Saccharomyces cerevisiae S288C: one gene and its partners. The gene in region 3 interacts genetically with the main gene of each other region. Each region holds a gene or a part of one and is shown on either strand. Other genes may lie near its edges.

Region 1 (3,881 bases), on a different chromosome or scaffold from region 3:
TATTGCTTTCACAGTTTGGAAATTGCCTCTATCACCAAGATATTCACTGTTAAAAAAAAAAATGCGAAAAAATTCAAATTTCAACAGCGATATTCGCCTTCAGTATATCAATATAAAGCAATTATGACACCTCATTTATCGTGCATATAAGATCATGCAATGAGTATGGATAACAATGATGACCATGAATCTAAATTGTCAATCTTGATGGACATGTTTCCAGCTATTTCCAAATCCAAATTACAAGTACATTTACTTGAAAACAATAATGATTTGGATTTAACGATAGGCTTGCTGTTAAAAGAAAACGACGATAAGTCTACAGTTGATAATGAATTACATCAACTGTACGACATGTTTCCTCAGCTTGATTGCAGCGTTATAAAAGATCAGTTTGTAATAAATGAGAAGTCCGTAGAATCGACTATTTCTGATCTTCTGAATTATGAAACCCTGCAAAAACTTAAAGACAATCAAGCAAATTCTCCTGATAGCGTAAAAAGGAACGAAAAGAAAAATAATTGGGAATCAACAAACGATCACATAGAGAGTATAATAAAGTTTACCGACGCTCCCAAAAATATTGCGCAGGAATACTTAGCCGAAAATGGTTTTGATACAGTAAAGGCGATCATCAAAATCATTTTGGATTATTACGACAAAAGGGATTTTAAAAAAGATGTGGATACTTTCAAAGTAAAACGGAGTCCTAATACGACTGTGAGAGGTGGTCGAGTTCAATCATCGACGGGGCTTGCCCACGTTTTGAAAAAGGGTAAAGAATCCGCAAATGTTGCTCAAGAGAGTCTCAAAAGGCCAAGGAGTTATAAGCACTCCTTGGATAGTCCGCAGATGGTTGAGTTAAATGAATTAGTTGCAGATAATCGCGATCTCAAAGCCATAAACCATGAATTTTTGCAAAAATGCCTGCAATTTTATGATGGAGATGTTGTAAAGGTGTTGAACATATCGTCCTTATTGATCGAAGATGACAAGAATATTACGAAAACTTGGAACTTTGACGAAGGTTTTACCTTGACATCCAGAGATAATTGTAAGCAACATTTACCCAAATTTTCAACACCGCAGATTTCCCGCAGAAATGAGGTAGGAAATACTTATAAATTGCCCCTTCATGACAAAGAAACCCCCGAGGGAGCTGTGCCGGTTATAAATAACCTGTTTCAAACATACAGATTGGATTTCCATGGTTTTCTTCCCAGTGAAGCGGTTTCAACACTGAAACTTGCATTAAATAAGTGGTGGTCCAAAGAGGTAGCAGAACGAGAGTTGAACTCCCACAACATAAACTCATATGGCTCAAAAGTACAGTTTGTAAGCCCGTTAATCGTGGTAACTGGTAGAGGTATCCACAGCATCGGCGGGATCTCAAAGGTTCGACTGCAGGTTAAAAGTTTTCTTGAAAAAAATCACTACATATTTTGGGAAGAATCTTCCTACTTCAGAATTGAGGGTAAGAAGAAGAAATAAAACCTATCTGATTTTTCTATAAAGGTTATAAACGCTAGGCTTCTTTAAACTGCATTGGGTTTTTTCTCAATTTCGAGAAAAATAATATAACGCGTTAGAAATGGTGATGTAAATAAATGAATGTTAGAAAAATACATACGTTAAACAAATAAGTTAGACATTAGCACAGGACAGCACTTCACTCATGGATTATATGAAATTGGGGCTTAAGTCCCGTAAAACTGGTATTGATGTTAAGCAAGATATACCCAAAGATGAATACAGCATGGAAAATATTGATGATTTTTTCAAAGATGATGAAACTAGTCTTATCAGTATGAGAAGGAAAAGCAGAAGAAAATCATCGCTTTTCTTACCATCAACGTTAAATGGCGATACTAAGAACGTATTACCGCCATTTCTACAGTCATATAAATCTCAAGATGATGAAGTTGTCCAAAGCCCATCTGGGAAAGGCGATGGATCAAGACGATCATCTTTGTTAAGCCATCAATCAAACTTCCTGAGTCCAGCCAATGATTTCGAGCCTATTGAGGAAGAACCAGAACAAGAAGAAAATGATATCAGAGGCAATGATTTTGCCACACCAATCACACAGAAATTGAGTAAACCTACATATAAAAGAAAGTACTCCACTCGGTATAGCCTTGACACTTCAGAAAGCCCTTCTGTAAGGTTGACACCTGATAGAATCACTAATAAGAATGTTTATTCAGATGTACCTGATTTGGTTGCTGATGAGGATGACGATGATAGAGTAAACACTTCTTTAAACACATCTGATAACGCATTATTAGAAGACGAATTAGAAGATGACGGGTTTATACCTGAAAGTGAAGAGGACGGTGATTACATTGAAAGTGACTCATCTTTGGATTCAGGCTCGGATTCAGCCAGTGATTCAGATGGAGATAACACCTATCAAGAAGTAGAAGAGGAGGCTGAGGTGAACACAAATGACAATGAAGATGATTATATAAGACGACAAGCGAGTGATGTGGTTCGTACAGATTCAATAATTGATAGAAACGGGCTTCGGAAATCTACAAGAGTCAAGGTGGCGCCTTTGCAGTATTGGAGGAACGAAAAAATAGTATATAAGAGGAAGTCCAATAAACCCGTTCTTGACATAGACAAAATTGTCACATATGATGAATCTGAAGACGAAGAGGAGATATTGGCAGCACAAAGAAGGAAGAAACAAAAAAAAAAACCTACACCAACCAGACCTTACAACTACGTACCTACGGGGAGACCAAGAGGAAGGCCAAAGAAGGATCCAAATGCAAAGGAAAATTTGATTCCAGAAGATCCCAACGAGGATATTATAGAAAGGATAGAATCTGGAGGCATAGAAAATGGCGAGTGGCTGAAACATGGAATACTGGAAGCTAATGTGAAAATTAGCGACACTAAGGAGGAAACTAAGGATGAAATTATTGCATTCGCGCCCAATTTGTCGCAAACTGAACAAGTAAAAGACACGAAGGACGAGAATTTTGCCCTTGAGATAATGTTCGATAAGCATAAAGAATATTTTGCTAGCGGCATATTAAAACTACCAGCTATTTCTGGACAAAAGAAATTAAGCAACTCATTTAGGACATATATTACGTTCCACGTGATACAGGGAATAGTCGAAGTAACTGTATGTAAGAACAAGTTCTTGAGCGTTAAAGGTTCCACTTTCCAAATACCGGCATTCAACGAGTACGCGATTGCCAATAGAGGGAATGATGAAGCCAAAATGTTCTTCGTTCAAGTGACCGTTTCAGAAGACGCTAACGATGACAACGACAAAGAATTAGACAGTACGTTTGACACTTTTGGGTAATTATGATGTGAATATTCTCATTATGCATGCTATGTACTGAAGAAATATAACTAGGTCCATACGCTTATACTGTTAAACATGTGAACTTTTCTGTAAGAAAATGAATCACGTAAAATTTCGCACCGAACTTTCGTAGATGAGAGAACAAAAAGCAGAAAAAGAGAAAGAACAGTAAAGTAACACTTAGTTAGCATATTTAAATAAAAGTCTAAAGGACCAGCAAAGAGTTATTAGGTGTGATGACGGATGAAAAAGTGAACTCAGATCAGAATATGAACGGTAAGCAGGGAGTTAACTTAATTTCATCCTTGCCTACAACACAAGTGCCGGTTTCAATTTTGACCAACAAGGAGAGAAGAAAAAGTATTCACGATGAATCAAATTTCGAAAGATCTGATAGTCATGAAGATCAATCAAAATCCAACTCTAATAGGAGGAATATTTACAAAAACGATTATAGCACAAATTTGAGGGATTTCTCTTTTGCCAATCTGAAGCAAAATAGTGAAAGGAACAAAGATGGCCATGAAATACAGATCAACACCAGTATGCCAGC
Region 2 (3,567 bases), 750 kb from region 3:
CGGTAACTTTAATTTTACGGGTTCTTGTTTTACCTTCTAATGAATTTTAAGTTTTGAAAAGCAGAAAATCAGATATTGAAACTATAGATCTGCTTACCTTGAAGTTCACTATTTTTGGAATTCTCCTTGCTAATAGTTACTTCTACTCTTGCTTTGTCCTGGATATCAATGGAAGATGTCCTCATTTCCATTTTTTTTTTCAATTCGACGGCAAGGCGGGAGAAAAGGAACTAGGGATACAAAAATGCAATTACTAATGAAATCCGTGAAATAATCATGGAAATGGGTGATGTAAGAATCTGATGAAACAAGTACAAATGTCTTTGGCCCATCAACTACGATGAGACTTACTAAGCTTTCATCAAATGCAGGTTAGAGAAGGAGAATGGTTTTTTTTTTTATTTTTTGTACATAGATATTAGAGAAATATAATAAGTAGATTATAGATAAGATATCACCAAAGAGATATAACAGTAGGGGGAATTTTTTTTTTTACAATATACTTGAAATATAGAAAGGATAAGGAGGTTGGGGGCGAGAGTGAACCTTAAAATTCCTCTTCCTCAGCGTATGAGTCGGCACCCACTTCGATGTAATCTCTTTCTAAAGCAGCCAAATCTTCTCTAGCTTCGGTGAATTCACCTTCTTCCATACCTTCACCGACATACCAGTGGACGAAAGCACGTTTGGCATACATTAAATCGAATTTTCTATCGATTCTCTTCCAAGCCTCAGCAATGGATGTGGTATTTGACAACATACAGACGGCCCTATCCACAGTGGCCAATTGTGAGTTTGGTGTGGCAGTTGGAGGTTCGTAGCAAATACCGATCTTGAAACCAGTTGGACACCAATCAACCAATTGGACGGTCTTCTTGTTTTTCACCTGCTCGACAGCTCTTTGAACATCTCTTGTTACCACATCACCCCTGTATAACAGACAAGTAGCCATGTATTTACCATCTCTTGGATCACACTTGACCATCTGGTTACCAGGTTCAAAACAAGCGTTTGTAATTTCTGACACAGAGTTGGACTCATGGAATGCCTTTGATTTGGATAAGACTGGAGAATATGAAACTAAGGGGAAATGAATTCTTGGATATGGAACCAAATTGGTTTGAAATTCGTTCAAATCTACATTTAATGAACCGTCGAATCTCAATGATGCTGTAACAGATGATACCACTTGAGCAATTAGGTTGTTTAAGTTTGCAAAGCTTGGTCTTGGGATATCCAAGTTTCTTTTGCACATGTCGTAAATAGCCTCATTATCGACCATGAAAGTACAATCTGCATGTTCCAATGTAGTATGTGTAGTTAAAACTGTGTTGTAAGGCTCAACCACAGAAGTAGACACTTGTGGAGCAGGGTATACGGCAAATTCCAGCTTGGATTTCTTACCGTATTCAGCGGATAGTTCTTCCAACAGTAAGGACCCTAGACCGGAACCAGTACCACCACCAAGAGAATGGGTAAACAAGAACCCTTGTAACCCATCACATTGGTCTGCCAGTTTTCTAATCCTATCCAGAACATCGCCCAAAATTTCTCTACCAACGGTGTAATGGCCTCTTGCATAATTATTAGCCGCGTCCTCCTTACCACTGATCAACTGTTCTGGATGGAACAAGTCCTTGTAAGGACCGTTACGGACTTCGTCAATAACGTTGGGCTCTAAATCCACGTAAATAGCCCTTGGAACGAACTTACCGTAGCCGGTTTCATGGAAAAACGTGGAGAAACCCTCTTCTCCTCCCTTCGGCTTTGAAAGGCCATCTTCTAGATGTCCATCCGGCTTAATACCGTGCTCAAGGGAATATAATTCCCAACAGGCATTACCAATCTGACAACCAGCTTGACCGACTGTAAAGAGAAATCAAAAAAAAAAAAATTTTGCGTTGAAGTTAGTAATGAAAGATGAAACGCCAAAATGAACTAACAAAAAAAAGATCTAGCCTGGACGGGCAAATCGAACATACCATTAATACTAATAACTTCTCTCATTGTTTGTTTGCAGTTGTAAGTTTACAGATCTTGGGTGGCGAGAACTGTTGTAGACGGATATACTGAATTGGGTAAAACGATATAGTAGATGTTTTTGTTTTGTTTTGTTTTGTTTTGTAGTTTAGTTTTTCCCTTGGCTCGAGGCGTTTTCGCGTGGCATAACCCGGCCGGAAACTACGGTGATATTATCGTCTGGCACATATATATATATATATATGTAAACTATACTTATATTAATAGTTTCCGATCGTCTTATTACTCACTTACTATCAATGGAAGCACTATTTCATTACTTAAAAAATACTTTCTATTGCAGGATCTGAAACAGTCAGTTATAATGGAAAAAGTATGCAATTGTGTTTTCTTAAAGAAGGATACAGATATTTATATATGTTAGTTCCTCTGGAATATATCGCTAGATGCATTAAACATGAAGAAATTTGCCGTATGAATTATTCCTGTATGTACACCAAATGTGTCATGATCTTCTTGTTTCTTCAATGTGGCGCTGGCATTCGAGAGTGATGATGCTTGGTGTGAGCACTTGAAATGTCTCCTCTTTAAGAAAGACAATCCTATCCTTTCATGATCAAGGGCTTCTAAGGCGTCTCTCAATGCCAATTTCAAATCGGTAGGGTCTGACACGGTCTGGTAGCATTTATTAATGCAGTGGGTAAGGAAGAGGGAGGGCTTGATAATGTGGTTGGCTGAAATCGGATGGCAGTGCCCGCCATTGATAGACTCAAATTTTACTGTCTTCGTACAGTGGTTGAAGGTCAGTATGAGTTTTGACTCGCAGATCAAATGTATTTTGTACTTTTCAGGAGTCCTTGTTCTTTGTATACGCTTATTGCTGAGTTGCTCGTGAACATTCATCTCACAAACGAGTTCGTACTTGTTCTTATTGATTTTCTTTGTCCTGTAGATGAAACTAATGAATGAATATACTCTAACGAACTGCTCAAACGACAGGGTACATAGGAACTCGAAGGAGGATTTTGGATGCTTGAAAATAAAGTCCCTGAAGTTTAGAATGTTGTTGATATTTTCGATCTCGTCCTTGTTTACTGGATGGTGATATTCCTGTGCGCATGCAATTAGTTGTTTACCAGACCTAACTTTGCTCAATTGTGCCTTTGTTTTTGCACAACCAATGTAGTTTGGAATCTTCCTAATTAATTCCTCGGTACTATCTCGCTCAACATCACGGCCGCCGCCATTCCCGATCACAATTTTGGGCAGGATAGGATGTGAAACTCTGTCCTCTACTGTGCTGGGCACAGGCGACGGTGGTAGTTTCAAATCTGGCAGCTTTATGGCGACCGGGGCCAAAGGGGGTGAGGGAGCCGTTGCTTCAAACTGAGGTCTTGGGGAGGTCATAGGTGTGATAATAGGCATCATTGCGGCATGATTTCGTACAGCGACAGGGATAGTGACAACCTGTTGTGACCAATGGACGGGCGTATTTGTGCTCATAGAAGGCAATATGGGTGTTGGCAAGCACCTGGGGCTGGAGTACCCAAATGTCAGCGAATGTTGTTGATCTAACGCCAATATGAT
Region 3 (5,401 bases):
TCTACACGCTGGCACACAATGGTCTTGCAATCATGCTTCCAAGCATCAGGATGCTGAATATTTTCGAGAAGGTCACCGCCGGAATTAACCTCCCTTACTCGTAAATAACTTGAGTAATCCTCATTAATTATCTGCTGCCTAATATCTTCGTCTCTCAAACCTAATCGAGGGTCTGGAGTTTCAAAGATCTCTTTCTTTGACGCTGACTGGCGTGCAAAACCAGGGTCGTACCTGAAAGTGGCCAGAACCTCGAAGTTCGGATTAGCAACTAGGCCTCCTTCATCGTAACTTTCCATATCAGTCTTCCAATTGTCCATTAGTGACATCTATTTCTTATTATCCATGTCTCGCTCTTCATCTTTCTTTTACTCACTTTCACAAAATTTTTTCCTGCCCTTTTTTTTCCAATAGCAGGTTCTGTTTATATTTCATCATAATCTATGAAGGCATCGTGACGTGATGATATAGGTGTGTCAAGTAAAATATTCTTACAAGTTGTGGTTATTTATATGCTCTATATATATTCACAGAACTAAATCCAGTTCTTCTATATATTCTTCATTGTTGTCTGGTGTAACGGGGTAAAAAGGTACCATGGCGTCCTGGTACATTACGTACATGTTATTATACACCCTCCAAAATGCTTTCCTTACATTCTTCGCTGGATGGAACAATCCTGCCCATATGTAGTTCATGAATAGTCCAGGGCCAAGAGCTTGACTCAGTGCCTCCAAACCTTCTAAAATACGCATAATAGCATGTGGTGAAGTTTCAAAAATATTGGGTATTAGAAGATTCATTAAATGAATGAAGGCATCTTCGTGACCTGTACCTGAACAGTTTAAAGCTAAGTGGGTTATTACGTTCGACGCTGTCTGACGATGAACTAAATCCCTATCGGTGAGTGCATCTTCTAATAATGGTGTTATGAAGTATATGTAATCCTTAGACATGTTACCAATGTACTCAAACATGAATGACATGGCCTTGAGAACACCGTTTTGAACATTAGTCTCTGGTGTTGTGTATTCATTCATGATTACTGGCAGCACGTTGTAAGGACCACACACTTTAGCAACGATACCGATAGCAACAGCCGTGCATACACGTAACTGACGTTCTTGAACCTTTAAATTGTTCAATAACGCAACAAGAACATCGTGAGGTCCAATTGCTTCAGCAATGAATCCAAACGTGGCATTTGCTGATCTTCTTATTTCTTTATTTGTACTTTTCAAAAGTTCTAATAGTTCAAAACATATTCTCATCCATTCTTTAGGAGGTGCATAGGTAGGTGCTAATTTACCAATAAGTCCAACAAATTTGATAGTGTTTACTTCGACTTTTCTATGCTTGTTTCTTAAAATTGGAGTTAAGGTTGGTAAAATTTGATTAATAGGAGGTTGTAGTTTATCCAAATCCATTACGCTAGTAATACAGTACATAGCGTTGATTATAGAACCTAATACCTCTGGATATACTTCGCCTAAGGATTCATACAATATAATGTTCAATTTATTCAACATTTCGAATTCGTGACAGTTCTTGATGACTGGTATTAGTATGGCACATAGATCTGCTGCATGTTGACGAACCAAGGGAGTTTTATGCTTTAAATGATTTAAAATCGTACTCACAATGGGTGCTAAAAACGGTTTCATACGGATGTCAAGTGACACCGTCACTGCCCCAAACCCTTTAAAGATTATAGAATCACTATTTGTTTGTTCTTGAAATGCTATCAAGAGCGCATCAATAAGCCTCGTTTCTAATCTCTCATCTAAATCTGCTGTCCCTAATAAGTTTACTGTTCTAGTAACAGCATGGACAGCCATTGTTCTGAACGGCTCAGCTTCATCTCTCAATGGTGTTAATAATTTATCAATGGTATAAGAACAACCTAATTTCTTTGCTAATGTAACAGTAGTATATGTAACAACTTTGTTTAATGGTCTATCCAATGCCACTCGTCTGACCCAAAATTTTTGAAAGAATTCTGGCGCGATTTCTTCTCTCAGAAATTTTGGCGTTATGGATTCTACAGCGCTACATTTTTGTAATACTAAAAGAATGGTCTTTTTCATTTCATCATCGGGAGAGTCGAATTCACGTCTAATTATTCTCATTGCTTCTGTGGTATAATAACCGGCATACTCTGGGTCCATCAATGGGATCATAGATCCAACAGCTTTTAAAAAAGAAGATAGCACTTTACCACGATGACTTCTTATACCCTTCCATAATGGCTCCAGTACAACGTTGAAAACTTCGATACCATATGGATAAGAATTTTCTGCTAGTGTTGATAAAGTATGTGCTGTAACAATTCGCACCGGAACGTGATCATCCATTAGGCAGTCTTTGATACAACTCATCAGCCCAGTAAGATGATTCAAGACACCTATTCCCAAAAGTATACCTATTTGCTGCACAATTTTTATGCCAGTATGCCTTGCTTTCCAAGACTTCCGTGAGTGGCATGCTGCATTGATGAAAGGAAGCAATTGATTAACACCAAGGGCTTTTGCCACCACAGCCGCCGCTCTTGAAGTTACATTTCTAACATACTCATCCTCATTCTCAATATCAGGTCTCATTACTGTTAGAATGGTTTTTAGGCCAGCGACTGTAGACAGATTGGTGATTATCTCCTGGCCTGTTGAACGAACCATTGGATCTTCATCTATTAGCAATGGGGCAGCTACTACAAGTATTTTGTGAACGTAAGGTTTTGTTAAATCTCCTAGCTGGTAAAGGACGCGATCTATGGTCTTGATCATTAGATGTCTTTCCTGGTCTTCCAAACTTCTGTCTAGTAATATGGGCAATAAGCGGTTAAATATCATTTCTGGACCAAATGTAACAGCTTTATCGGTTAAAATCCGCATAGAAGTCCTCCTACTCGCTGTATTGCCATTTTTTATTTTCAGAAGTAACATCGACAGGGTTCTTTCTTTCTTTTCATCCTTATTTAACTCATCTATGGGTTTTTTGGATATAACGTCGGCGAAATATTTATGGTCAGAAGGTTTAAAAAACATCAAATCATGGATTCCTTCTACATTAACCAAAGCACTATCAGAGTTTTCTTTGACCGCTGTTGAAGATTCATCAGGTGGCTCGTACCCTTTTACATCCCAACGAGATTTTCTTTTCCTTGGCACGACAGCGTCTTGGGTATTTTCTGAAGACGTAACAGTTTGTGTATCGGAATCCGGCTCAAACTTCATATCAAACCTTCTTTTGTGGTATGAATCCTCTCGATTTTGCACTGTCCTAGTTTCCATTTTTTCCTGTAGCACATCTTTTTCGTTCTCACCAATACGTGCAGCTTCTTTCTGCAGGTTTTCCCTCAAATCCTGAGGAATAGAATATTGACCGCCTAATTGGTGGCTCTTATCGCTATTATTAGCGTTTACAAATTGAATCGGATGACTCATGATGACAGGTCCTGGCTTTCTATGTTTATTATGTATAAGTAATTGAAGAGATGTTTCAGTTCTAACTCATCGAGAAGGAGATTTCTGCTCGGGCAAATATCAATGCAAACCCGAATAAGCTTAAATACTAACAACGTGCCAAATAACAGCAATCACGTCTAAAAAGCTTTCAAGAGACGATAATTGGTTGTGCATATCTGTCAGCGGAATAAATAAAGACAGGTGATGGTAGTTAGGCGGAAAGTACATGTTCTTCTAATTGCAAGGAGCTTTCATTCCTACACACCTTGCTTCAGAGTAACTACCAGAGGCAAACGACAGCGAAGTAAGAGTAAGCAGCAAGCAAAAGTAGAACTAGATCACACACGAGAGCTAGATAATGATCAAGCTACAGAGACAGTTGTAGACCGTTCGGTTGGACCGGAGAAAGATATAGAATCAATAAACAAAGACTTTCTGCAACGAACAAAAGGATTAGAGCCTGATATTGAATTAAAACAACTGCCTCAAATTAAACAGGAATTTAACCAACGTTATAAAGATAGGTATGTTAAACCTTCCGAAGATTGGTACGTAAACTCCTGGAGGTCTTTAACAAAACCAAAAATTCCGCTTTACAAGTTAATAAATTCAGATTTTCAATTAATAACAAAACTGAAAGCTCCAAACCCAATGGAATTTCAACCTGTTCAGCTAATGGAAAGTCCCTTAAATGTTGGTGACTTTGTTCTTTTAAAAATGAGACCCAATGAATTGGCGATGTGTGTAAGTCTTCCAAGTAGCACTATGGATCCTCGATACACTTTTGTTACTATTGATGGAACTATGTGCTTTGCGACCAAAAACCGGGTGTTATTGAGGATTCCTCACAAATTACCTGCTGGAATCCATTCACTTATACAGCCTGAGAGCCATCACAAACATTTGCCAATTGGAACCGTTAAGAACTTTTCTAACCAAACGAATATTTTGCCTATTGTAGCAAGGCAGCTAATAACAAGTAGGTATCCAGCCCAAATTTCAAAGTTGGCCTGGAAAGATTTGCCCATTACTACCAAAAAATTACAGTTACTCCACAGATCATTACAAAATTATATGGGTCCATGGCAGATTCCTTTTTTTACCCTAGTCGGATTAGTTCAGAAATTGGATTTAAATAAAGCCTTGGACGATAAAAATGGAATAAATTACTTAACTAGTTTAGTTAATAACTATCACACTGTAAACGATATACCAATAAATTCACCTACCTTTGTTTCCACGTACTGGGCGATTATGCAACAACAGGAATCGAACCTTTGGGGGGAAATCCATCTGAATACAGCGTTGCTGTCGCCTATATCAGTAACGATTATTCCCTTAAAATCACAACATTTATATTATGCGCAGGTGATAGAGAAGCTAGAAGCCAACAGTTATAGAGAGGTCAATAAGTTTGTAAAATTGGTGAATGAAAGGAAATATCGCGATATATCAGCTTTATATCCTTCTGTGATCCAATTATTGAAAGATTTTGCTGCTGGGAATTTTCACAATAACGGAATTATAGTAGCTTTGATCTCAAAAATATTCAGAAAGATAGAACGCTATAAGGATTGTGACATCACAAGAGATATATGTCAAGATTTAATCAATGAGATAACACCCAACTCAATACCCAATCCATTGTTACTTAACATGGATTTAGCATTACCTGCTTCCTCGAAGTTAGTGAAATGGCAACAAAAACTCTACGACTTAACTAATATAGAAGAATTGCAATGGAAAAAATCCGGCACTGATGACGATAGGTACGATTTTGGCGATCTTAGGGTTTTTTGTATAGACTCTGAAACTGCGCATGAGATTGATGACGGCGTGTCGGTGAAAAACTATGGTAGAGATGGACTGTACACTTTATATATTCATATTGCGGATCCAACTTCTATGTTTCCGGAAAGCACTAATGTTGATATTGAGGG

Evidence for each region.
Region 1: mutations in HSH155 (region 3) and MIF2 impair growth when combined (synthetic growth defect), as found in Saccharomyces cerevisiae (one study listed by BioGRID).
Region 2: of HSH155 (region 3) and TUB1, changing one suppresses a phenotype caused by changing the other (phenotypic suppression), as found in Saccharomyces cerevisiae (one study listed by BioGRID).

Annotation. Positions count from the first base shown.
Region 1 is NC_001143.9:271,719-275,599, forward strand, and holds MIF2 (Mif2p), read left to right. Parts: upstream 1-1,675; coding exon 1,676-3,325; downstream 3,326-3,881. Other genes in the region: CUE2 (Cue2p), read left to right, coding at 160-1,491; phosphopantothenoylcysteine decarboxylase complex subunit CAB3, read left to right, coding at 3,565-3,881. UniProt on the Saccharomyces cerevisiae protein: Component of the kinetochore, a multiprotein complex that assembles on centromeric DNA and attaches chromosomes to spindle microtubules, mediating chromosome segregation and sister chromatid segregation during meiosis and mitosis.
Region 2 is NC_001145.3:97,394-100,960, forward strand, and holds TUB1 (alpha-tubulin TUB1), read right to left. Parts: upstream 2,008-3,567; coding exon 1,983-2,007; intron 1,867-1,982; coding exon 548-1,866; downstream 1-547. Other genes in the region: YML083C (uncharacterized protein), read right to left, coding at 2,401-3,567. UniProt on the Saccharomyces cerevisiae protein: Tubulin is the major constituent of microtubules, a cylinder consisting of laterally associated linear protofilaments composed of alpha- and beta-tubulin heterodimers.
Region 3 is NC_001145.3:843,610-849,010, reverse strand, and holds HSH155 (U2 snRNP complex subunit HSH155), read right to left. Parts: upstream 3,441-5,401; coding exon 525-3,440; downstream 1-524. Other genes in the region: aminodeoxychorismate lyase ABZ2, read right to left, coding at 1-326; DSS1 (exoribonuclease II), read left to right, coding at 3,666-5,401. UniProt on the Saccharomyces cerevisiae protein: Contacts pre-mRNA on both sides of the branch site early in spliceosome assembly.